7 linked regions of the Xenopus tropicalis genome follow. The protein of the gene in region 2 interacts with the protein of the main gene of each other region in a pairwise test. Links are inferred from orthologs where the notes say so. Each region holds a gene or a part of one and is shown on either strand. Other genes may lie near its edges.

Region 1 (3,500 bases), on a different chromosome or scaffold from region 2:
CCCAAGGGAAATATCAGAAGACCAAAGTGTAAATTTGATTCTGACTCAGAGGAAGGAGAAATTTCGGATTCGGAGGAATTTTTACCAGTAGATGACATAGGAGCCTTAATTGCGACCAGCCACAAGGACCCTATTAACAAGGGCAAGGTCACTTCTAAATTTGCCATTGCCAAGTGGATAAAGCTTGCGATTTCTATTGCATATTCTTCTTCAGGAAGACCAGTTCCAGTGGATCTCAGAGCACATTCTACAAGGGCAGTGTCTGCTTCGCAGGCAGAACTTGGAGGCGACTTTTGCAGACCATTACCGTGTAAATATGAGTACTCCTGGGGAAGTGGCTTTTGCAAATACAGTTCTCCTTTCTGGTTGTAAAGTTTCCCCCCTTGATTACTGCTACTCAACTCTCTAAGTAAGTGCTGCCAAGGGACGTGAAGGAAACAAAGAATTTATACTCACGTAAATTCCTTTTCCCTCAGTCCCGAAGGCAGCACAATATTCCTCCCTTAGTAAATAATTTAGCAGCATTGTGTTGTGTTTTATTGCTTGAGAAATCACTGAAGGTTGGTGGAGGGAAGAGGTTTTTTGGGTAAAGGGGGCGGAATAATTTATTTGGAGAAGGTAGTGTTTTTCCTACCCTAGGTATGACATCTCTCTAAGTAAGTGCTGCCTTCGGGACTGAGAAAAAGGAATTTACGTGAGTATAAATTCTTTATTTTTGCTTATCATCATCCATGTATATCGGGTATGTGGGGCAAGGAATTCGTTATCTCGAAATTTGGAACCATATATGGCAAACAGCATGAGGAAATCATATATGATATGCATTTCCCATAAAGTGGAGATCCAAATTACATGATTTGCAACATAGCGCCTCCAATCAAAAAAAAAAAAAACTAATGGAAATAAAAAACTTAAAGGTCACTCCAATACTGATAACAGCAGTTGTTCATTTAGGCCCCTAGGACACCCACAAAAAAATCTACTTTGCTTACAGAATCACTTAAGTTGTTCAACCTGCTCAGTGCGGATCTAATAGAACACCTATGGTTACTCCTTCTTTTGTGATAGGTTGTCATTCTTGCCAGTGTATCGAGACCCTATGCCATATAGACCACAAATGTACTCATGCAGCAAAGTCTGTGGCATAAATTGTATTTGATATCAATGTGTGGATGGAATATCTGTGTCCTTCAACCATGTTATAGAAATATTCCCTGTATTTCAGACGCACTCTAGCTGATATAATTATGGAAAAGATCACAGAGAAGCAAACAGAGGTAGAAACTATGATGTCAGAGGTCTCTGGACGGCCAATGCCACAGTTGGACCCCCGGGTACTTGAGGTTTATAAAGGGGTAAAAGAGGTGAGAATAATATTTAATATTTTTGGTCCCTCCAAATGAATGCAGCTCAGCAAAGAATATGATCAGTGATCAGCTGTTAAAGGGGTAGTTCACCTCCACTACACTTTTTCAGTTCATTTCAGATAGCCCAGCAGAACTACTTTTCTTTCTATAGTATACATTTATAATATATAAATATAATGTATACACTATAATGTATACATTTCGCAGCAGTATCTGGAATTTTTTACAGGGTTTTTTTTTACAGGGTTGATATAATAAAAGCTGCAGGGTTTGCATCAGGCTGACCAGCCAGTAGGTAGCAACTACTGATATCTTGTTTGAAAGCAACAATGTGATTGGTTGTTTTTGGTTACTAGACCTAGTACACAAGCTGAAAACATTCATACATACTTAATGTTCTCTTTCGTTCTTTTAAGACTAAGTTAATTCTCATGGGAAACATTATTTTAGGAGACTGAGCGGAGAACAGTAATAGGCACTACTATATGCTAGTAAGACAACTGATGTGGAAATTCTTTTGCCTGGATCTCTTTCTACCTCTCTATTTTATCATGTAAAATGCCCTTGTGGTTGGGATTATTAATAGATTACCATAAAGGGGGCAAAATGTGACTTGCATCTAACCAACTATGTGTTGTACCAAATATCATACATTTGGGTGTGTATTTGGTGACTCAACTAAATTTATGAAGTGCTAATATATATATTTCCTTGGCTAAGTAATAAAAAAAATCTTGCACAGGTAAATGGAGTGTTTGTTTGGCCCTGGAGGCTTTAACTAAAGCATGTTCAGCAAGTTGAAAATTATTACATTCTCTGGCCATTGTTTGTGTTTAGAATTATTCACAAATGTTATAATGCTTAAAATATAATATTCAGCTAACTAGTGACCACCTATCAAGGGTCATTGGATGAACCCATTTGTTGAACAATCGAATCATATACTCAGAACAGCCCAGGAACTGTTAATACACCACATGTGCTAAAGTTTTTTCTTGTGTTGACTAAGCTGTACATAAATGCTAATTTTTTTTAAATGCTAATGTTATTAATTACCTATTTATGTTGTCTGAGGAACATGTTTTTGCTAATACTCTCTGTGACTTCACCTTTTAGGTCCTGTCTTCTTATCGTAGTGGAAAGCTGCCAAAAGCTTTTAAAATAGTTCCTGCTCTCTCAAATTGGGAGCAGATTCTGTACATTACAGAGCCTGAAACTTGGACAGCTGCAGCTATGTACCAGGCTACCAGGTGGGACTTATATCAGTTACAGAGACTAAAAAGATCCATGGTTTGTCTTTGAAATAATTTGGAGCAGCATTATGTAAAGAAGCACAAATGATCATTTTGGTGATATAACTATTATTTTCATTATAATTATTAGGGATGCACTGAACCCACTTTTTTGGGTTCGGCCGAACCTCCGAACTCTTATTGGCATATGCTGATTAGGATCGGAAGGGTTAAACATTTAACCCTTTCCAAATTCTAATTAGCATATGCTAATTAGGATTCGCAGATCTGTCCGAAAACGAATCCTTAAAAAAACGCCGGGATTCGGTGCATCCCTAATAATTATTGTGCTGGCATTTACACAGTTCTTTAGGGCTTTTACACATTGAGAGTTCCACCCTGAGGTGGAACTCAGGAGAAATCCACTGCACGCTGTATCCACCCACTGAATGCAGGGTAAAAGCCCTTACAGAGAACATTCACTTCAGTCCCGCCCTTATAGTTTACAATCTAAGGTTCCTAATGTACTTTCACACACATTATGGGCAATAATATCAGGAGCCATTTAACTTGCTTGTATATATTTTTTTTTGTTGTGGAGGGAACCAAAATAACCAGAAAATAACCTGAGGCAGTGCCTCAGACAGGAAAAAAACATCCTTTTTACTCACCAGAATCAATATATTAAAGAAAATTAAGACATAATTTGCAAAAGCTACTAACAAAATGCCTACCTATCCATATACTGCAGTATTTTTAAGCTGTCCAACTATGCCATCCCTGGTTTGGACTGTATTGCCCTTCTGGTTAAGAATTCTAGTATTTCATTATGCATTTATTTGGGACTTCATTTTTATTTGCAACTTACCCCGCATCACCTGGCAGAAGTTGGGAATGAAGA
Region 2 (4,217 bases):
TCCAGTTGGGGGAAACAATTGATTAAAAAAAAACTCCCCCTCGCCAGCACTGGGCTACCCGCACCAGGAGGGAGCCATGTTGGTCGGCACGAATGCGCATGATAAGCACATGTGCCTGATGTAGGAGTGGTGAATGTAAATTACCCTTCTACGTCACACACATGTGCACAATGAGCGAGTTGCAGCACTCACACTCGCGCATACGTGTGCCCCGACATGGCTACCTGCAGTGGTGACTGTGGTGCAGTGGAAAAACTATTGTTTCCCCTATCCGGAGCATGGGCTCTATTAGGCTGCACCTCAGGTGGGGGAAACAACATAGGGGCAATTGGTGCACTTTAAGGGCTCTGGCCCTTAGTCGCCCGCGACAAATCTCCTGTGTCTCGGGCGACTAATCTCCCCGAAATGCCATCCCACCGCTGCCGTGTATGCTATCCTACCGGCGATTTACATTTTCGCCGGTGGTATGGCAATCTGGGGAGATTAGTCGCCCGCGAACAGGGAGTTTTGTCGCGGGCAACTAATCTCCCCGTGTGCCAGAGCCCTAAGGGCAGTGGCAGACTAAGAGATTAGTTGCCCCGCAACAATACGGCATATGCGTTGCTACGATTTCCCGAACTTGCCCTAAGTACTTTGGGTGAAATCGTAGCGACACGTATGCCATCCCACTGGCGATTTACATTCTTGCCGGTGGGATGGCTTTGCGGGGAGGTTACCCGCGGCAACAAAAATCTGACTAATTTCCCCTTGTGCCACTGCACTAAATCTCAGCTACTGTGGGTAACTAGTCTCCAGGAAATGCCTTTCCACAAAAAGCACTTCCTTTCCCAAAGTTACCTGCAGGAGGCCAAGTATGCCTTCCCACCTTTGGAGCATTGTTTCTCGTTACACACAGGTAACATTACAGACATACTACTCATACAGCACCCACAAGTTGGGCAGCGCTAGAGAGATTGTTTTTCATTCACACCAACTCGTACATAGTGGCGCTTACAATCCAACTTCCCTACCACTTTTAACTAGCGCACAAGCGGGCTGATTACGAACCGATTAACCTGTTCTCGCTAATCAATAATACACGCCAACTAAATAAGGGTACTGAAAGACATACATGTGTTTAATGATCATATAAAGGTACAAAGTCGCAAGCCCTTGTTACGCTTCTGATTACTAAAACAAATACGTCGAATAAAATCCTTTGAATCCTACATATACTCACACCTTCCGAGTAACCTACTCATTTTCTACAGAAATATAAAGAAACCCCGGCTGGCTAAATCAATTAGACGTAAACATAAGAATAGGCGGAGCAAATATTGCACCACGTGGTACACCCTCGCAAATCGTAGTCCAGCTCCCGCTCAGCGAACGTGACGCCGACCTGAAGCGCTGTCAGCCATCTTGGAGCCGGGAGGAGCGCAATTCACCAACAGTCTCTGCAAAATTATTGTAAATTAATTCGGTGGTGCTGTCAACTCGGTAGCCAGCGATACACCAGATCGAGAAATTAAAGCAATCTACGGAAAACCCGTCGCGCTTTTCAAGGTGCAATAAGGCGGTACCGTCTGTAGCAGAAGAAACTGGGCGCGTCGGAAAACATGGTGCAATCGTGCTCGGCTTACGGTTGCAAGAATCGCTACGATAAGGATAAACCCATCTCTTTTCACAAGTGAGTGCATTTTGCGCTTTGCCCGGTAATATTTAGCTGGATAGTATTCTCGGTCCCCTGAAAGCAAGAGACGCATGCGCGAAGCTCGGTGCTTGTTCTAATGCTAGGCGCCTGCCGATACCACGTGGTCAGGGGCTGGGAGTGCGCGGCCTCGCCTTGTGTTACTGTGTGTGAGCTGCATCCAGTTGTTCAAACTTTGAAATAAATGGACCTAAGAAGGGGAAGAGTGATTTTACCTCATTTTTATTTTATCATATAAATATGTGGACTGGTATATTTAACGCTTTTGCCTTTTTTTCTGGTAAAAATTGCCACAATTGTGCATGTTATCTGAGTGAAACTTGTCAGAAAATATTCCCCCTGTACATAGGGTTTATCTGTGAAACAGTTGTATGTTACACAGCCTTCTCCTTCTCCAACATTGACTTGGCAAATTTAAGCTCTCAGTGCCTATGTTAAATAAAAGAAAACCCAAACCCATAAATATTTGTTAATTTAAACAAATAAAAAGTATGTCCTATTCAATAATAATCTTAAAAAGCATTTGCACAAAGTAATGTATCATACTGCTAAAATACCCCTTGGGTATCAAGCCTATTCATAAGTTAAGATAATATCACTTAGGAACATCGCATTCCAGTTAGGGTATGGGTAGGGAAAAAAGGAAAGGGATTTTTTTCTGAATTGTAACACCCTGTTAAAGAGAAATACATATATTTTCCATTATTATATTGTTGCTGTAAAAGTTGCCTTTTATGCAGTAGCATACCTAACCTTGGGTACACTTATTCAACAGCGGCGTAGTCACATGATGGAAAACTCCTCCATTTTGCTTCTCTGGTGGGCCTAGAGGGGTGCATTTCACCCCCTTGTAGTTACGCCACTGCTTTTATGTATGCATCTTCTTTATGGCTAATTAACCAATCATTTAGATCCCTGCTGTTGTCTTGCAGTTGGCCATGGGGGCTATATTCAGCCCTTCAGTATGAGTATGTTGCATTTATTAAAATGTATTGTAGTGTAGTGTGCTCATTACCAACATCAAATCTAACCTGCAGTCCTTTTGATATGTCTGGGTTCAGTGTGAGACCCCTGAAACTTCAGATGTTGCTCAGCAATGCTGTAGACTGTTCTTGATTCTGTGATCAATGTGGCAAGAATCTAATTTAACTGTTAACACTTTTAGCACTGGGATTAAAATGTCTGAATTGAGGAAGCCGCAATTGAAATAATATACTCCATACTTTCTTACTTTGCAATAATTTGTTTTAATGTCTTATTTTAAAATTTAAATTGAATAAATATTTGACTTTTTAAGAACATTGTTAGTACCGTATATACTCGAGTATAAGCCGAGTTTTTCAGCCCTAATAATGTGCTCAAAAAGGCACCCTCGGCTTATACTCGAGTATATACGTTCTCCCGGCCGTGCGCTCGCTTGCTCACACCGCCCAACCCTGGACATATGCGCTCGCATGCTTGCGAGTGTTGACTTACTCTATTTCATTGATCCATCACCTCGGCAGCCATCGGCGCGCAACTTACTCTATTTCATATCCAGCACTGGGCATCCGTCGCAATCGCATGCATCCCCCCGTGCGCGTGACATGTGTGCGCGGATGCCTGGTGCTGGATACGTGCATGCGATCGCGCCCGATTGCTGGAAAGGTACGTGATATGTTGTGCGCGACGAATGCCCGGTTACAGCATGATGGCTGGCGCCCGATGGCTGGCGAGGTGCTGGATCGGTGCTGGATCAATGAAATAGAGTAAGTCAACAGCACAAAAGGGCATTTAAAAGAACTCAGAGTTGCAACATGGGTCAACTACAAGGTAAGGGCATATTAAGTTGTTCGCTTTGATATTTTGAGTTTTGCCACAGAGACAGGCCCTTAGGCAGCAGGGATACACAGACTGACACACATAGACTGTACACAGGCTGACAGCTGCTCACTTTACACCTCCTGCCTCAGACTTAAGGTTCATGATTTTTGGAACATGTCCTCCCTCTTAGGCAATGGTTGACAGTGAATTATTACTAAGAAACCTAATGGGTTAAATAGGAACTGTGATCGATATGTGTTACTATGAGTATAGGATAACGTGTGCACTGCTTTCCAATTTTTGCCTCCTAAAAACAGACACTGATCATTTTCTCCCCTGATATACCTAAAAAGCAGCTGCTCTAAAGTCTTTGCATTACCAGGGCTAATTAAATACAATAATGTTGCACAAACTAAGGTGGCTTAACACAAGCCAGTTTTCTTATGGCCGGTCATTTTGAGTGTTTGAGAGACTGGATATACAGTATGTTGTTTTGTCAAACGCAAGGGTGGTTCTGGATGCTTCTCAGCTGGCCGAAATACACAGGTGGAGAAAATGCCCAATTTATTTATCTATTTTATTAATATATTATTTTCTCATCTGCAATGTTTTCTCTATCTTCCATGATGATGATAGCGTTTTGTGCAGGTGTGTTAAAAGAAATGGATGCCTAGGCTTATACTCGAGTCAATAAGTTTTTCCAATTTTCTTAGGTAAAATTAGG
Region 3 (2,622 bases), on a different chromosome or scaffold from region 2:
TATTTGGCTTTTATTTGCCTGCACAAATTCAAATTTATGTTCAGCTAATGTAAAATTGTGTTTTCTTTTTGTAGCAGTGGCAACAGTGTTGCTGAAACAAAGATGAAGAAGAAAAGGTAAATTTAAACTTGTTTAAAGCTCTATAGCACCAGGGACTTTAAAGAGATGCTAATATTAGCTGTGTTATTAAACTGTACACCATGTGCAGCAGCCCAGTACACTAAGAGAAGTGCATCCCCTGAGTTTCATAATGCTTTGAATTTTTATTTAAAAAAAAAAAAAAAAAAGTTATATCAAAACTGAAATGTATGTGGCTTTCCCAGCATATCTTCCATTTTACAGAAGGAGAAACACTTTCTGGTGAAAATGGCATTATAGGATGCCGAAGAGGAGATGTTTAACTTTTTTGGTGGAGACCACAATTATGTCAGGGCCCCCTTAGTGTATATCAAGGTTAAAGACACCTGAAAACACTATTGCATGAATATTTAAGACAAAAAATAGGTGATCATCATAAAGACATTTCAGTTGAGCTTCCATAAATATTGAGGAATAGGCATCATCCAAAAATCTCAATTCAGCCTGGACTCCCCATTCATACCTCTGCCGTCTCTGCCCCACAGAGGGCCAGCCACACAGTTGAGGAATGAATTCTCTAGATAAATTCTACCATGTTGATGATTGCTTTTTATTAATTGGGCTTCTTTTGTAAGTAACTGTTACTTGAAGTTCCTAAACCTGACTGTTCTGCTTATCCTGTCAGTTACAGCTTTTAATGCTAACGGACTACTGCTGCACAAATATGGCAGCCCCCCTCAAAGAGGAACATGGGGGATCACATAGCTAATGTAAAAGCATTTAGCAAATATTTTAAGGCAAAATTATAAATAGCATGCAAAGACAATGTTGTTAAAGTGTCCCTTTTAATCATTGAGCAAAGCACTCTTTTAGAGATACTTAGGACATTCACAGTGAACCACCAGGAAATCATTAGCGGGATCTTTATTTATTGGTGGTATTAACATAATTACATTTAAGAGACAGTAACACTAAAACAAAAGCTGCTTAGGAATATGTTTTAGTTTCTATATATTGTTAAAGACTAGGGGAATCTGTTTAGATTAAAAGCATTCCTGCTATGCAATCACATAGTAAGTTCTTGGCAAGGAAATGTAAATGTATAGCATTTTATGCAGGTTCAGTTTGAAAAAAATATTGAATCCTTTACATGCATATTTGTTAATGTTACAATATTTTATAAATACATATAAATATTTTATAAATAGCATAAAAAGAGCTACAGATCTGAACACTATTAATACTGTATATAGCACATTTCTGAATGAAGTGTACTGTACTATTATCAGGTTTTTAAAATATATAAGTTTTTGCCTTTTTTGTTGTGCCAACATGCATTTTTCCCCCTCCAGGTCTAGAAGTGTCACAAGCTCCAGCGGTAGTAGCAGTGGGAGCAGCAGCAGCAGCTCTGATACAGACTCTTCTTCAGACAGTGAAGACACCTCCAGTTCTTCATCATCTTCAGAGGACAGTGACAAGAGCACCTCAAGCTCTTCAACTTCCTTGTCCTCACAAAGTTCATCCTCCTCATCTGAGTGTGACTCTGACACAAGTGCCAGCAGCACCAGCGCAAGCAGCAGTACCAGCAGTGAAGAAGACAGTAGCTCGGAGGATGAGCCTTTGAGAAAGAAAAGAAAGAAATAGAATTCATGAAGAGACCTACTTCAAAGCTTTCTCATGGCGTCCTTATAAAGATTCTACTTTATTCGATTATCAAAAACCTTTTGTTACAGCAATTGGCTAGCGTACATTTAATACAGTTTTACTTGACAAATCCCCAGCTCTGGTTGATTGCTTTTCCGGATCTCAAGTGGCAGATCCTAGTTTCTTCCGTCTCTGAAAGACCAAAAATGCCATGATACTTCCAAGTTACACAAAGATCACCAGAGAATTTAAAGGGCCACTGTAAATTGGTGTATTAGCTATGGAGGCTTATTTTAGTATGTAAATAGGTTCTTTGTACAAACTGTGAAACAATCAATCCACTTCTCTTACATTTTAAAATATAAACAGGGTGCAAACTAGGAACAAATGTTAAATATTTTTTCCTTCACTTGAAAGTGCTGACTGTACTCATGAAGACAATGTCTGTGAGAATATATTTTTCGAGGGCTAAACTAGAGAGAGAGAGAGAGAGAGAGAGAGAGAGAAATATATGTAATAATAATAGGGTAAGTGTTGGACTGTATTGTAGTCCAGCTTGTTATATTTTGTGGAGAGGAAGAAACCACAGACTTGAACTGTTGAAGTTCATTTGTTATGTTCGTTGTGCTGCGAGATTGTAAATAGCATTTCAGTGTTCTGCCAGGTGCCATGACTTCAGACATAGTCATTTGACCACACCCTGGGTGGCAGACTCTGCTAGTTTGAAACTTGATACAGTCACCTTGTGTTATGTTTTGGGTTACTGACAATGTGTGCCTTTTTATTATTTTTTTTAAAGTGACAAAAATCTAGTCTTAAATTCTAAGCTATGTATGGATTTCTTCAGTTTGTTATCAAACGTGACTCTATGATTGGATTCTAAAGTTCTAACAGCAACAA
Region 4 (3,948 bases), on a different chromosome or scaffold from region 2:
CACAATAAGCTGTACCCCCATACTGTACTGTCTAAGGGAAACACTATGGCACCTCCTACCCATATGTATAAATACAAATATACAGAGAGGGAATGTTCTGGGCACACAATAAGCTGTACCAGATATTAGGACTGAGGGGGTACATAACATTGGTAGGGGCAGTTATGAGGCAGACATTAGGGCTGAGGGGGTACATAACAGTAGTAGGGGCAGTGGGCAGTTACTGGGGCAGTTATCAGGCAGACATTAGGGCTGAGGGGTAAATATCAGTAGTAGGGGCAGTTAGTGGGGCAGTTATCAGGCAGACATTAGGGCTGAGGGGTAAATAACAGTAGTGGGGGCAGTTACTGGGGGCAGTTACTGGGGGCAGTTACTGGGGGCAGTTACTGGGGGCAGTTACTGGGGGCAGTTACTGGGGGCAGTTACTGGGGCAGTTATCAGGCAGACATTAGGGGTGAGGGGGTAAATATCAGTAGTAGGGGCAGTTAGTGGGGCAGTTATCAGGCAGACATTAGGGCTGAGGGCTGAGGGGTAAATAACAGTAGTGGGGGCAGTTACTGGGGCAGTTACTGGGGGCAGTTACTGGGGGCAGTTACTGGGGGCAGTTACTGGGGGCAGTTACTGGGGGCAGTTACTGGGGGCAGTTACTGGGGGCAGTTACTGGGGGCAGTTATCAGGCAGACATTAGGGGTGAGGGGGTAAATATCAGTAGTAGGGGCAGTTAGTGGGGCAGTTATCAGGCAGACATTAGGGCTGAGGGGTAAATATCAGTAGTAGGGGCAGTTAGTGGGGCAGTTATCAGGCAGACATTAGGGCTGAGGGGTAAATAACAGTAGTGGGGGCAGTTAGTGGGGCAGTTATCAGGCAGACATTAGGGCTGAGGGGTAAATATCAGTAGCAGGGGGCAGTTACTGGGGCAGTTATCAGGCAGACATTAGGGGTGAGGGGTAAATATCAGTAGTAGGGGCAGTTACTGGGGCAGTTAGTGGGGGCAGTTATCAGGCAGACATTAGGGGTGAGGGGTAAATAACAGTAGCAGGGGGCAGTTACTGGGGCAGTTATCAGGCAGACATTAGGGGTGAGGGGTAAATATCAGTTGTAGGGGCAGTTAGTGGGGCAGTTAGTGGGGGCAATTATCAGGCAGACATTAGGGCTGAGGGGTAATTATCAGTAGTGGGGGCAGTTAGTGGGGCAGACATTAGGGCTGAGGGGTAAATAACAGTAGTAGGGGCAGTTACTGGGGCAGTTATCAGGCAGATATTAGGGGTGAGGGGTAAATATCAGTAGTAGGGGCAGTTAGTGGGGCAGACATTAGGGCTGAGGGGTAAATATCAGTAGTAGGGGCAGTTAGAGGGGCAGTTAGTGGGGCAGACATTAGGGCTGAGGGGTAAATATCAGTAGTGGGGGCAGTTAGTGGGGCAGTTATCAGGCAGACATTAGGGCTGAGGGGTAAATATCAGTAGTAGGGGCAGTTACTGGGGCAGTTATCAGGCAGACATTAGGGGTGAGGGGTAAATAACAGTAGCAGGGGGCAGTTACTGGGGCAGTTATCAGGCAGACATTAGGGCTGAGAGGTAAATATCAGTAGTAGGGGCAGTTACTGGGGCAGTTATCAGGCAGACATTAGGGCTGAGGGGTAAATATCAGTAGTGGGGGCAGTTAGTGGGGCAGTTATCAGGCAGACATTAGGGGTGAGGGGGTAAATATCAGTAGTGGGGGCAGTTAGTGGGGCAGTTATCAGGCAGACATTAGGGCTGAGGGGTAAATATCAGTAGTAGGGGCAGTTAGTGGGGCAGTTATCAGGCAGACATTAGGGCTGAGGGGTAAATATCAGTAGTAGGGGCAGTTAGTGGGGCAGTTATCAGGCAGACATTAGGGCTGAGGGGTAAATATCAGTAGTAGGGGCAGTTAGTGGGGCAGTTAGTGGGGCAGTTATCAGGCAGACATTAGGGCTGAGGGGTAAATATCAGTAGTAGGGGCAGTTAGTGGGGCAGTTATCAGGCAGACATTAGGGGTGAGGGGTAAATAACAGTAGCAGGGGGCAGTTAGTGGGGCAGTTATCAGGCAGACATTAGGGCTGAGGGGTAAATATCAGTAGTAGGGGCAGTTAGTGGGGCAGTTATCAGGCAGACATTAGGGCTGAGGGGTAAATATCAGTAGTGGGGGCAGTTACTGGGGGCAGTTACTGGGGGCAGTTACTGGGGGCAGTTATCAGGCAGACATTAGGGCTGAGGGGTAAATATCAGTAGTAGGGGCAGTTAGTGGGGCAGTTATCAGGCAGACATTAGGGCTGAGGGGTAAATATCAGTAGTGGGGGCAGTTACTGGGGGCAGTTACTGGGGGCAGTTACTGGGGGCAGTTACTGGGGGCAGTTATCAGGCAGACATTAGGGCTGAGGGGTAAATATCAGTAGTAGGGGCAGTTAGTGGGGCAGTTATCAGGCAGACATTAGGGCTGAGGGGTAAATATCAGTAGTAGGGGCAGTTAGTGGGGCAGTTATCAGGTAGACATTAGGGCTGCAGAAGAAGCAGCAGGAGGGCAGGCCTGAAGGGGCGGGGCATGACCCCCAGGGGCCACAGGGGAGGGGCGTACCCGAAGTCCTGGTCCATGGCCTTGAAGAAATATTTGGCGTGGCCCCGGCCCAGCGCAGCCTTGAAGTCCCGCAGGCGGATCTCATTGGCCGGGACCGGAACCTTCACCAGGTACGGGGTCTCCTCCTCGTCCAGATGGTAAATGACTTTAGTCTCCGCCATCCTGCGGCCTAGCGCAACCCCAAGCCCCGGCCTCCCGTACTACCCGCTGCGGCCTCTACCGCCCACGAATCCCAGCAGCTCCCCAGAGCGGCGTGTGACGGAATGACGCACTTGCGGGGCGGGACTAACTAGGAGACGCCTCTCTGACAGGCCCACAGGGGCCAATCACAAGACTCTGCAAATTGCCGTTACGTTGTCGCACCACGCACTTCCCACAGACAGCGCTTTCCGCTAGCGCCAAGGGCGGGACAAAACTTACGGCGCTGGTCACGCCCAACAGCGGGTAGAGGACGCAAACTACATTTCCCAGCATGCATCACGACGCCTCGGTCCCTAATGCGCATGCGCTTCACGCCCCTCCCTTTCTGTGCTGATTAATAGCTAAGCGCGGGGGCTGCTGGGAGGGCTCAGTTGCGCAAGGTTTCCTGGGAGTTGTAGTTCTTATTCGGAGAACTTGGCTTTTTCGTTGGGGAGTGACCATGGTTCTTGAACTACAAGGACCGTAATGCTTTGCGCCGGCGGCTGAACTACATCTCTGGTGTTCCCTGCGACGGGAGAGCAGGCGGTTCGGGAGGGGTAGCAGCCCAAGTGGCAGGGTATAAGCCCCGGGGTGGGGGGGTACTTCTGTTAGTGAGGGGGGCAGTAGGGCCTGAACATTTGCCCCTAGGAGGGGCAGTTGGAGCTGTTCCATCCCCTGGCCGGAGACGATCGTGTGACGGAGTCTGTTTCTGCCCCGGAGGGGGTATCAGGGCTCGGAGATGCTGGAAACCACCATGGGGGAGGCCAGTCCTGAAGGTGAGTCGTGTGGGGAGGGGTAGGTCGGGCCGGTGGGGTAATTGGGGCAGAATGGGACAAAACTGCCCTTCCCAGGGGCGGATGGGGCACTTGGATCAAACTGGGGCTCAATATGTTGGGGCAGAAGCTTGGGGGGCAACGGGAGATAGTTACCCCGGGGGGGGTAGTTTCCAAGGTTTGGGGTAAATAACACATGGACGGGGCAGTTAAAAAGGTATAACAGGTAGTGGGGGGGCAATTATTGGGGTATATACTGTGTGTGGAAGGGGCAGTTAGTGGGGTATATACTGTGTGTGTGGAAGGGGCAGTTAGTGGGGTATATACTGTGTGTGTGGAAGGGGCAGTTAGTGGGGTATATACTGTGTGTGGAAGGGGCAGTTAGTGGGGTATATACTGTGTG
Region 5 (4,081 bases), on a different chromosome or scaffold from region 2:
AAGAAAAACAAAATGAAGACTTTGGAGTGGCCTAGTCAAAGTCCTGACCTGAATCCTATTGAGATGTTGTGGCATGACCTTAAAAAGGCGGTTCATGCTAGAAAACCCTCAAATAAAGCTGAATTACAACAATTCTGCAAAGATGAGTGGGCCAAAATTCCTCCAGAGCGCTGTAAAAGACTCGTTGCAAGTTATCGCAAACGCTTGATTGCAGTTATTGCTGCTAAGGGTGGCCCAACCAGTTATTAGGTTCAGGGGGCAATTACTTTTTCACACAGGGCCATGTAGGTTTGGATTTTTATTCTCCCTAAATAATAAAAACCCTCATTTAAAAACTGCATTTTGTGTTTACTTGTGTTATCTTTGACTAATAGTTAAATGTGTTTGATGATCAGAAACATTTTGTGTGACAAACATGCAAAAGAATAAGAAATCAGGAAGGGGGCAAATAGTTTTTCACACCACTGTACATATTAACATGTAATAAATACACTGAGATAAAAATCAGTTATACTATATTGAAAGGGGGAGCTAATGTTACAAGAACATGTTCTATCCAATCTGTGGGCCCTTATTGGGTAGGGTAATATAGATAGTGATATTTTAAGATAATTTTCATTTTTTATGGTTTATGAATTGTTTAACTTTTTCTTTCAGCAAACCTCCACTTCAGAAATTTAGAAGCTATATGCTTGCTGGGATCTATTTAAACCCAACAACCAGGCGGCATTATTAATAAAATGGAAGATGAATAAGAAAAGGGTTTGAATATAAAGATAATAAAAGTAATAAAAAGTAACAAAACAATATAAAAAATGTAGCCTCACAGAGATGTCTATGTAAATACAGCCATAAGCACTCACTGAAACGCTGCACTGAGAAACAGGATTTTTTGTATCTTTGTTTTCCTATGTCAGAGTCTGTGCAGCTCTCTCCTCTCTCCCCCTCCTGCTCTCCCCTCCCTCAAGAATGCTAACAACTCCAGCCCCCCCCCCCTTAGGAATTTGTGATCTGAGCCAATCAGCAGGAAGCTTCCTCATAGTCTTATTAACTGTGCATGTACTCAGGTCTTGGTGCAGGTGCATTGCATTATTGGAATTTTCTATACAGAGCTCAGCTTTTTGTTTTTTTTTTTGTTTCCTATGAGGCTTCTGATCATCTGAATGGGAAAAGTATGGGGAAACTTAAGTACACTATTGAGACAACTGAAGGTAAGCCTGCAGCTTGAGATTAACTCTTTATTAGCCTTTCCTTCTCCTTTAAAGCCTCCCAATAGATACTTTGCTTGTGTAATTGTACAATTGCCTTACATAAATATACTTACTGGTTTTAGATTATTTTGGGGTGTTTAGCATATGGTATACTCAGAAAAAGAAAGTTTTTTTTGTCTGGAAAAACATTGTTGAGTGAACTACCAGCACTAATAAGTTTTCTTTAACAGATAGCTCTTTTTAATGACATGGTTTATAGACGCAACAAATAATCTGGGTGTCATGTAGTTACCTTTACAAAGTTTGCTGCAGGTATGTTAGTTTTAAGCTTATTTTTGCACTGCACCCCTCACATTCCCCCTTCCTCCTCACCATCTAATTGTGCAGCCAGTGCATGGCCATTAGGTCCCCCATTCTGGTACATAAACAACATATGTGATGATCCAAAACGGCACCTGCCTGCTTGCTGTGATTGTGTAATCCAAGACTGAAAGAAATAAGCAGGAACGGACCAAGCCGGCCAGGCGCCCTAGGCTGCCTTGCTTGCCAATGTATGGGTATGGGTGGGCACGTGCATGAGCACCGACGTTGTGGATAGAGGGGGTACACAGTGACAAGCTACAGTCTGTGCTATAACTTTAAATGCCTAACTGAAAACTGCAGGAAAAAAAAGTTTAAATAATTTAAATAATGTAAATAGATTATCTACACAACGGTAAGCATTATAAAAAAATAAATATAAAGGGCCAAATCAATAGCAAAATAAAATAATATTGTGTAGCAAATTAAACTCTATTGTTGTGTCATACTGAATACTCAATATGTAGAAAGGTAGTACAAAGGAAAATATTTATCGATAAAAAGATTTGGACAATAAGGCAACAAAGTAAGATGCGTAGGAATTTAAATGAGTCACGTCCATAGCCCCACCGAATAATACACTTCTTCTATGTACTTAGGACGTGCAATAGATACGCAGTTCTCAATAACCCATAAAGTTTCTCCAGATGGCCACTCCGTGCCCAGTGCCTTCCCCACACTGGACGGGATCTGAGTGGCCCACCTGTCTTCAGGAATGGGAGTCAAGAGCCAGTGGAGAATGAGTGCCCCCATAAGCTCATGCCATGACAACTTGATGAGGTCTGACTGAAGCTCAATCAGCAGTATTCATGCAGGGACAAATGAAAAGCCTGGCCTCTCTGCAGATGGCAAGCATTGCACTAGAGTACCGATAACAGGTTACACCAGTTCACATTGACAGAACTAAAGCCTAACATAAACGTTAAATATTTCCAATGTCCACATTTACAAAATCACCTCATAAGACGCATGCATATTAAATACATATCATATAGGTTCTTTTCAGTAACTGCGTACCTTATCAACCGCTAGATGCGGCCGCCATTTTTGATGCTCCAAGCCCATCCCACGCGTGACGTTGATTTGCTTGGATCTAAATGCCAGTGCAGTTTCTTGAGGGCGGTGGAACCGGGCGGTGCCCGGGGGTGACAGCCATGAAAGGTTGAGGAGTCTGACCCAAGTGTTTTGATGCTTTTTCATAGGGACCGACATGCCCGGGCGCGCATGCGCAAGCGGTCGCTCCTGGTGCTGGCTATCTGAAGGTCGTGCTTTGGCATTTTTTAAAGTGGGATAGATTGATTTTGTAGAAGATTATGCGCAGCGTTCAGTTGTTGAATCAATGGCTATTGTGACACCGAGTCTAGGGGTCCACTTGCATGCTGCGTATAGGGGGCCTGTCCTATAGTATGTTATAGGCTAGGTGTGACAGGTCAGTGGGAAACTGGCTAGGTGATGGGCCACTCTGGTATGATTTGTGACTTAAGAGAAAAGAGATTGAAAGGCTGAAGGTTTGGAAAAACATTAATAAACCACTTCTAGAAGTCTATATGGTCTTCAGTTCCTGGACTCTGTAGCATCTTTGTTCCTCAAAATCAGGGTGTAGAAAACAGAAAAAATTAGTTGTCACTACATAGTGTCTGTCTATGGGAATCTTAATCTCACATCCTATTTTCTTCTGTCTTTGCATTAAACACTACTGTGTGAACAGAACAGAGCAAGAGGGCCCACTTACACTTGGGCCCACCGGGAGATTTCCTGGTGGGCCAGTCCAACACTGCACTGGCAGTGAAAACACCTGGTATTGCATTGCAATGTTTTTAATAGCGGTGCACTGTGGGCACCTATCATACCAACATGCATGATACTTCCACTGTTGTCACTGTGAAGAAAACTTAACAAATGCTAATGTGTTGTGGCACAGACACAGGTTCTGTCAGAGATCTTGAATGGTAAAACCCTCTTGGACTCACATAATGCACATAATGCTCCTGCTTGTGTCTAGATGGCAAGTGAGTCTCAAAGGGGAAGTTGTTTCTTGTGTGGAAACAAACACCATATTATCAACTGTGTTATGTATAGTGATATATATTATGTATCCTGAAACAATGTAGCAGATAGCAGTTTTTCTCCAGGGAAATAATTCACAAAAGTGGAATAAACTGAAATGGGAGGAAGAAATATTATTGGCATTAAACTGGAGATTGTCAGATTCACAAAAACATTAATTCATTTTGTCAATATGGTGGTTATGTACTATATGGTGTTCTCCAGATTAACTTCACTGGTCTGGGGTACTTTTGTTGCCAACTTCTTCTATCGCATCTTCTGATCTGGGCAGGATAGGAAAAGCCAGCTCTATTCTTCCAAGTTTGGCTTTTTCATTAACATGCACACCCAGACCAGAAACCTGGAGGATAAAAACATAGAATGAAATTCCCCCAGACCATTGCAGTTTTTAGTGAAAAGGAGCACCAGCCCAGGCATCAAGCTAGCATTTGTAATTACTGGGG
Region 6 (3,500 bases), on a different chromosome or scaffold from region 2:
TCTTAGTTATTTTAACGAATACAGATGAAATTAAATTTGTGGGAGAAAAACATGTTTTTTTTTAACCTTTGGCTGCATGAAGAGCTCACCAAAACAAATCCCACCACCACTCCTTGAAATATGTGTCATACCATATATACACAAGTATAAGCCGATCCGAATATAAGCCGAGGTACCTAATTTTATCTAAGAAAACTGGAAAAACTTATTAACTCGAGTATAAGCCTAGGGTGGGAAATGCAGCAGCTACTGCTAAGTTTCAATAATCAAAATAAATGCCAATAAAATTACATTAATTGAGGCATCAGTGGGGTATATGTTTTTAAATATTTATTTCAAAGAAAAACCATAAACTAGCTCTGTAAGTGGAGAAGAGGGTCCACAAAAACAATATGAGTACTACCCCATGCTCATTGCGCATTGGCAAACTGACAGCAGACCCAGTCCCGGGGGACACATAAGGGGAAATAAGTATTGCGACAGGGGGCAGCCAGGGCACTGGACGGTTTGGTTGCAGGTGGCCTAATTTGCTCACAAAGGACAGAGGGTTCTAGTCTGGGGGCACCCATGGCACCCAACTCGAGTATAAGCTGAGGGTGATTTTTTTCAGCACGTTTTGGATGCTGAAAAACTAGGCTTATATTTCAATATATTGACTACTTTTAGCATTTTCAACCCTTTACTAAGGGTCTTGTACCTCTTCATGCTAAATATGTATTATTTATAATATGGTAGTGGTTACATGTTAATATTATAGTTGCTCAAATGGATTAGTTATTCTACAGCCTTTTATCAGTACACCTTTGTTTAACTATTCATGAAGCTTGTGCTAATGAAAGATTGTTTTTCTCTTAGGTGTATTCATTCTGAACTTGGTATGCCGTGATGCAGTTTTGAGATTAAAGGTGCTGAATGTTCTCCGTGAAATTTTCCCTTTGATTTATGCCCAGAAGATTGATGAAGAAGTCAATGAGATCTTGTTTTGCTGTGCAAATTCAGAAAGGAAACTCAGCTCTTTAGAGCTAAAAGAACTGGCAATGAACTTGGAGAAAAAACTTAAAAAGCCCGGGGTTCAATGGGACAGCACTTACAGTCTGGCTGAGATGCTGAAGTCCGTTCAGATAGTTTAAAAAACTATATTTGGAAATTTTCTTACAAAAAATTGCAGCAGGGGCTGGCCCAGGGATAATTTAAAAATGATACTGCACACATCCACATGTTAATGAAGCCCTTGCTTCTAGATTAGGTGCGGTCAACTGGGCTACCTAGGCATACCCACAATGTGTTACACATAAACTTTACCAAATTGTGTTTAAACATACCTGTATGTGTTTATAAAGAACCAAGTATATTTTCTTCAGTGAAATGTTGGATAACAAATCAAAAATGAACATTACAAATACAAAATGGTCCATCTAAAAGTTCCTGGTCTTCAAGGAAGATACATGCTATTAAAGTGCCTGTCCTATTATAAAAAAAAATCTCTGCCTTGTTCTAGGATAACATCTGGTGAGAGGTTTTTGTGTCTTTTAATTGTTTGCCTTTCTGTTCTCTGGCCTCTTCTAACCTAGATTACAAATGATGCTGGGTTTTTAGTTGTTATTAAATTCAGGCACTTTCGTAAAATTTGTGCCCATTTAAATGAACTCCTAGTTTGAGACTAGAAAATTGTATTCTAATCGAATTTTTTATGCTGCTTTATGGTTTTTAAATCATTACTTTTTTGCAGCTTTGCTGTACTGAGTGATAGTTTTTTTTTTTAAAGGAAATATTTTTCCCAATATTAGAAAATATGTCTTCTTCCTATAATATTTAATGTTGAAATGATGGGCTTACCCAATCCTTGGTTCAGAGCAGACTGCAGCAGCAGGATAGTTAGTGAGGGAAGAGTGGAGTTAAATGCTACTGCACCTGCCTGGGCTTTTCTAAGTCAAGCTAATTCTACTGGCTGCAAAGCACTTAACCCTGTGCTGTGTGTTTTCTTTCCCTGCTGATGATTTCTGCTAAAGCAAAGTGTAAAAAAAGGTCACCCTTTTCTCAAGAGGGGTAGGGCAAATTTTAAATGTATGTTTTCTCCTACCAGGACATCCCTTTTAAACTGGTTCTTTTCCACCCATTCTGCTCATGTATAGACCTAAGGTAGCACCAGGCGTTAAAGTGATACTGAAACCAAAACATTTCTTTTAAAAATATGAACCTACTTCCAAACCTAGATCATGTTGACTGTTTTTTCCTAAAAGTCCTGTTTCTCTACATAAATCCTACTGAAGATCCTGAACCCGACTGGCAGCCCGACTGTAGCTTCTCAATCTGTCATAAACTGGGAGGATTCAGCTTGCCGTTTGCTTCAAAGAGTTCCCCCTTCCTCCCTCGCTCCTCGCATTGTGAACTAAATAGCAGGCAGGCTTGATCTTTCCATTGCCTGCCTGCCTGCTTCAGAGGGCTGCCCCCCCTTTCTGCTCTTCGCACAAAGAATTTAAATAGCTTTCCCGTGCCTGCCTGCTTCTAAGGGCTCTTCCTCCCCCTTCCCATTACACATAGACAACAGAGCTGAGCTTGTCACACACCGGCTGAAAGCATATTTATTCACTTGGGAGGCATTTAAATTAAAACCTGAAAGAGGGGAACAAACATGGCTGCTCCGTGGGCCTGTAATTCATGCTACCATAATTATGAAGCGAAAAAACTTTGCAGATTTAGTTTATAAGGAATTTAAAGCTGATACATATTAAAACACAACAGAAGGTGTAAAAAAATGTTAATTGGCTGTCAGTATCACTTTAATACCCAGAGCTGATTGGTTTTCATTGATTGTAGCAACTCATATATGGCTACAATAGGCTAAATGGTGCAAGGATGAACATTGTATGTATGTATGTATGTATATATATATATATATATATATATACACTGCAAATTGGGCATGTTTTGCTGAAAGCCTTTTTAAAAAAAAATCTCCCCCACACTATACATGATTAAAAGAAGTTAGCACTTTGCTAGCAGAGTTATGTGTGAAACTGGAGACTAACCAAAAAGTCAGAGCTTTGCTAAGGAACTTTGGTACCCTGGTCAAGGGTGCAAACCTGCAAACCACTTTACTCATTTCTGGAAGAGTTATTTGCAATCATACCAGATTACACTGGAAGGATTAGAAAGACCTATACCTATATGGCTGCCCACAATGTACCTTCTCTCTTTGGCAGAGCTGATGCTCTATTTTGTTCCTTCAGGTGCCAATTCCCAGGTAGCACTGAGCCAGGCTGTAACAGAAACATGCCTATGAGTATAGGGATTGTGACTACTAGGGCAGGTGGTACTTCCTAAGGACCTTTTGTGTGTCACATGCATTTAATTTCTTATTTAGGTTTTTTAATATAGCAATTCAGCCAGCGTAAATTTATCTCCAGTGAGGAATGGAGCATCTCAATATTGGTATTAAATGATGTGTCCTTGAAAATGCCTAGTAATTCATAAAACTTGCTGTTGCAATAAACTCCACA
Region 7 (3,956 bases), on a different chromosome or scaffold from region 2:
CACACAAGCATGAAAACATTTTTTGGGGGATGCCAAATAAAGGTGGCCATACACGAGCAGATCTGCTCGCTTGGCGATGTCGCCAAGCGAGCGGATCTTCCCCCGATATCCCCACCTACGGGTGGGCGATATCGGGGACCATTTAGGTAAAAAAAATAATAATCCGATCGTTTGGCCCTGGGGCCAAACGATCGGATTATGTGGGCGGCAATGGGGCAGTCGGATCGGGGACCGCATCAGATCCGACCAGATTTTCTAACCTGGCCGATCGAGAATCTGGCCAATTTCAGGCCAGATATCGGTCGGCCAGGCCGCTCTGCTCTCCCCATACACGGGCCGATTAGCTGCCGAATCGGTCCAAGGGACCGATACCGGCAGCTATAGTCGGCCCGTGTATGGCCACCTTTAGAACTGTGATTGGCTATTTGTCAGCCTGCAGGATTATCTGATTGGAGTAAAAATATGTCTCTGTTCTTCCAAAATATGCCCCCAGGGCAGAAATGTAAAAATTGGCACCTACTTTGAGGCCCCTGGGAGCAACATGTTGCCCACAAGCCACTGGTTGGGGATCACTGCTCTAGAACAAGCTGGCCTGAGATTGTTTATTTATTGCAATTAGGTGTACATATATGAATTGGAAATTAATTTGTGATATGTGACAAATATGAATTTTAAATGATTAATAAAATCTGACTTCTCTATAGTTAGACTCCTGGCAGCTATAGTAGTGACAGTTAAGTAATAGGTAGAACTGGGATGGGGAATCATTTTAAAAAGTGGGTTTTTACATTTGCTTTTTCTCATCTGCATCAGACAGGGGACTGAATGAACCAAGAGGATAATTTATATAATTTCATGCAAAAGGTAGGATCCTTATCATTATTGCCATTCAGGCCTCCATCACAAATACGATGTATTATCTGGGACCAACTACAATGAGAATACATGTGCTTACTGAAGAGTAACATTAGATTATAATAATGAGAATACATGTGCTTACCGAAGAGTAATATTAGATTATAACAATGAGAATACATGTGCCTAACTGAAGAGTAATATTAGATTATTGGGCCCAGGCGGCATATAATAATCGGAACGTACTAAATATCGGAGAGTGACATTGGTCATGTTGTTAGATACCCGCAGCCAGTGTTTGAGTTTGGCGCTCTTTGCCAAAGGACTGAGTGAGCCAAAGCCATTCTGTCCCCTCCTTATTCCCCTCCCCTCTCAGTCAGAGCATCCATCCTACAGCAGCCCGGCCGCCTCGCTTCTCCTCACTGCAGCCGCCGAACCTCCTCGGACATGTCTCTCCCCAAGATCTCCTCATCCTCAGCCATCCAGATCAGCAGGTAAGCCTCCCCCAGCGGCACCTATCCCACTGCCCGCTCCCGGGTGTACATGGCACTAGGCGGGCCGCGGTTAGGGGCCAGGCCGCCAGTCCCTGCTGTGTCACCGCACACGTGTATTATGTGCCGGGCTGTCTGGCCGGGACCCCTCCCTGTGCCGGCTCCCTAACAGCAGGCTGCCATGTACCTATGTAGCGCTATACCAGCCCTGTGTCTGTAGCGAGTAAAGCCCTGCGCAGCTGGGGCTGGGGGAACCCTAGTTCCTACCTGCAGGTGGGAGGTTACTGCTCTGGGAGTGGGCGGGGAATATACACCGTACCCACCTTTGCTTCATTGCGGAAGTGCTTGTGTTGCCCTTTGGGGGATATGGTGCATGTACTGCTGCAATGCATGCACTGCCCTTTGGGGGATATGGTACATGTACTGCTGCAATGCATGCACTGCCCTTTGGGGGATATGGTACATGTACTGCTGCAATGCATGCACTGCCCATTGGGGGATATGGTACATGTACTGCTGCAATGCATGCACTGCCCATTGGGGGATATGGTACATGTACTGCTGCAAGGCATGCACTGCCTTTTGTGGGATATGGTACATGTTCTACTGCAAGGCATGCACTGCCTTTTGTGGGATATGGTACATGTTCTACTGCAAGGCATGCACTGCCCTTTGGGGGATATGGTACATGTACTGCTGCAATGCATGCACTGCCCTTTGTGGGATATGGTACATGTTCTGCTGCAAGGCATGCACTTCCCTTTGGGGGATATCGTACATGTTCTACTGCAAGGCATGCACTGCCCTTTGGGGGATATGGTACATGTACTGCTGCAATGCATGCACTGCCCTTTGTGGGATATGGTACATGTTCTGCTGCAAGGCATGCACTGCCCTTTGGGGGATATCGTACATGTTCTACTGCAATGCATGCACTGCCCTTTGGGGGATATGGTACATGTACTGCTGCAATGCATGCACTGCCCATTGGGGGATATGGTACATGTACTGCTGCAATGCATGCACTGCCCATTGGGGGATATGGTACATGTACTGCTGCAAGGCATGCACTGCCTTTTGTGGGATATGGTACATGTTCTACTGCAAGGCATGCACTGCCTTTTGTGTGATATGGTACATGTTCTACTGCAAGGCATGCACTGCCCTTTGGGGGATATGGTACATGTACTGCTGCAATGCATGCACTGCCCTTTGTGGGATATGGTACATGTTCTGCTGCAAGGCATGCACTTCCCTTTGGGGGATATCGTACATGTTCTACTGCAAGGCATGCACTGCCCTTTGGGGGATATGGTACATGTACTGCTGCAATGCATGCACTGCCCTTTGTGGGATATGGTACATGTTCTGCTGCAAGGCATGCACTGCCCTTTGGGGGATATCGTACATGTTCTACTGCAATGCATGCACTGCCCTTTATGGGATATGGTACATGTTCTGCTGCAAGGCATGCACTGCCCTTTGTGGGATATGGTACATGTACTGCTGCAATGCATGCACTGCCTTTTGTGGGATATGGTACATGTTCTGCTGCAAGGCATGCATTGCCCTTGTGGTATATGGTACATGTACTGCTGCAAGGCATGCACTGCCTTTTGTGGGATATGGTACATGTTCTGCTGCAAGGCATGCATTGCCCTTTGTGGGATATGGTACATGTTCTGCTGCAATGCATGCACTGCCCTTTGTGGGATATGGTACATGTTCTGCTGCAATGCATGCACTGCCCTTTGTGGGATATGGTACATGTTCTGCTGCAAGGCATGCACTGCCCTTTGGGGGATATGGTACATGTACTGCTGCAATGCATGCACTGCCTTTTCTGGGATACGTTACATGTTCTGCTGCAAGGCATTCACTGCCCTTTGTGGGATATGGTACATGTACTGCTGCAATGCATGCACTGCCCTTTGGAGGATATGGTACATGTACTGCTGCAATGCATGCACTGCCCTTTGGGGGATATGGTACATGTTCTGCTGCAAGGCATGCACTGCCCTTTGTGGGATATGGTACATGTACTGCTGCAATGCATGCACTGCCCTTTGTGGGATATGGTACATGTACTGCTGCAATACATGTACTGCCCTTTGGAGGATAGGGGAACCAGAGACCTTCCTCGCACACCCTTAGCTCTCCAACTTAGATTATGAGCCCGGTGCACACTGCTGGGGGGATCGGCACCCTCCAAAAATCCAAAGTAACCACAAATGCAATGGCACTCAGAGCTGTAATAGGGACAAGCCCTTAAGTTCAAACTTTATTGCGGTAGTGCAACGTTTCGGGGCAAAGTGACCCCTTTTTCAAGCTTTGGGGGATATGGTACAAGTACTGCTGCAATGCATGCACTGCCCTTTGTGGAATATGGTACATGTTCTGCTGCAATGCATGCACTGCCCTTTGTGGGATATGGTACATGTTCTACTGCAATGCATGCACTGCCCTTTGGGGGATATGGTACATGTTATGCTGGAATGCATGCTTTGCCCTTTGGGGGATATGGTACATGTTCTGCTGCAACTGCAAGGCATTCACTGCCCTTTGTGGGATATGGTACATGTTCTGCTGCAAGGCATGCACTGCCCTTTG

What was found.
Region 1: the proteins of thap1 (region 2) and bysl interact in binary tests that used the Homo sapiens proteins (3 or more experiments, as listed by UniProt). The two-hybrid records come from large-scale screens. The link is inferred for Xenopus tropicalis from reciprocal best matches to the Homo sapiens genes THAP1 and BYSL.
Region 3: the proteins of thap1 (region 2) and zcchc10 interact in binary tests that used the Homo sapiens proteins (3 or more experiments, as listed by UniProt). The two-hybrid records come from large-scale screens. The link is inferred for Xenopus tropicalis from reciprocal best matches to the Homo sapiens genes THAP1 and ZCCHC10.
Region 4: the proteins of thap1 (region 2) and dvl2 interact in a two-hybrid assay, tested with the Homo sapiens proteins (2 studies listed by BioGRID and IntAct). The two-hybrid records come from large-scale screens. The link is inferred for Xenopus tropicalis from reciprocal best matches to the Homo sapiens genes THAP1 and DVL2.
Region 5: the proteins of thap1 (region 2) and phf1 interact in binary tests that used the Homo sapiens proteins (3 or more experiments, as listed by UniProt). The two-hybrid records come from large-scale screens. The link is inferred for Xenopus tropicalis from reciprocal best matches to the Homo sapiens genes THAP1 and PHF1.
Region 6: the proteins of thap1 (region 2) and eef1aknmt interact in binary tests that used the Homo sapiens proteins (3 or more experiments, as listed by UniProt). The two-hybrid records come from large-scale screens. The link is inferred for Xenopus tropicalis from reciprocal best matches to the Homo sapiens genes THAP1 and METTL13.
Region 7: the proteins of thap1 (region 2) and acot7 interact in binary tests that used the Homo sapiens proteins (3 or more experiments, as listed by UniProt). The two-hybrid records come from large-scale screens. The link is inferred for Xenopus tropicalis from reciprocal best matches to the Homo sapiens genes THAP1 and ACOT7.

The regions. Positions count from the first base shown.
Region 1 is NC_030678.2:70,754,085-70,757,584, reverse strand, and holds part of bysl (bystin), read left to right. Parts: intron 1-1,225; coding exon 1,226-1,364; intron 1,365-2,483; coding exon 2,484-2,617; intron 2,618-3,500. UniProt on the Homo sapiens protein: Required for processing of 20S pre-rRNA precursor and biogenesis of 40S ribosomal subunits. May be required for trophinin-dependent regulation of cell adhesion during implantation of human embryos.
Region 2 is NC_030677.2:112,770,179-112,774,395, reverse strand, and holds the start of thap1 (THAP domain-containing protein 1), read left to right. Parts: upstream 1-1,417; 5' UTR 1,418-1,598; coding exon 1,599-1,669; intron 1,670-2,443; exon of another isoform or gene 2,444-2,515; intron 2,516-4,217. UniProt on the Homo sapiens protein: DNA-binding transcription regulator that regulates endothelial cell proliferation and G1/S cell-cycle progression.
Region 3 is NC_030679.2:37,651,999-37,654,620, forward strand, and holds part of zcchc10 (zinc finger CCHC domain-containing protein 10), read left to right. Parts: intron 1-74; coding exon 75-116; intron 117-1,430; coding exon 1,431-1,722; 3' UTR 1,723-2,622.
Region 4 is NC_030679.2:153,301,354-153,305,301, forward strand, and holds the start of dvl2 (segment polarity protein dishevelled homolog DVL-2), read right to left. Parts: upstream 2,801-3,948; 5' UTR 2,754-2,800; coding exon 2,593-2,753; intron 1-2,592. Other genes in the region: phf23 (PHD finger protein 23A), read left to right, coding at 3,512-3,548.
Region 5 is NC_030684.2:71,995,233-71,999,313, forward strand, and holds the start of phf1 (PHD finger protein 1), read right to left. Parts: upstream 2,801-4,081; 5' UTR 2,589-2,800; intron 1-2,588. UniProt on the Homo sapiens protein: Polycomb group (PcG) that specifically binds histone H3 trimethylated at 'Lys-36' (H3K36me3) and recruits the PRC2 complex. Involved in DNA damage response and is recruited at double-strand breaks (DSBs).
Region 6 is NC_030680.2:107,473,013-107,476,512, reverse strand, and holds part of eef1aknmt (methyltransferase-like protein 13), read left to right. Parts: intron 1-855; coding exon 856-1,130; 3' UTR 1,131-3,500. UniProt on the Homo sapiens protein: Dual methyltransferase that catalyzes methylation of elongation factor 1-alpha (EEF1A1 and EEF1A2) at two different positions, and is therefore involved in the regulation of mRNA translation.
Region 7 is NC_030683.2:98,993,487-98,997,442, reverse strand, and holds the start of acot7 (cytosolic acyl coenzyme A thioester hydrolase), read left to right. Parts: upstream 1-1,156; 5' UTR 1,157-1,302; coding exon 1,303-1,349; intron 1,350-3,956. UniProt on the Homo sapiens protein: Catalyzes the hydrolysis of acyl-CoAs into free fatty acids and coenzyme A (CoASH), regulating their respective intracellular levels.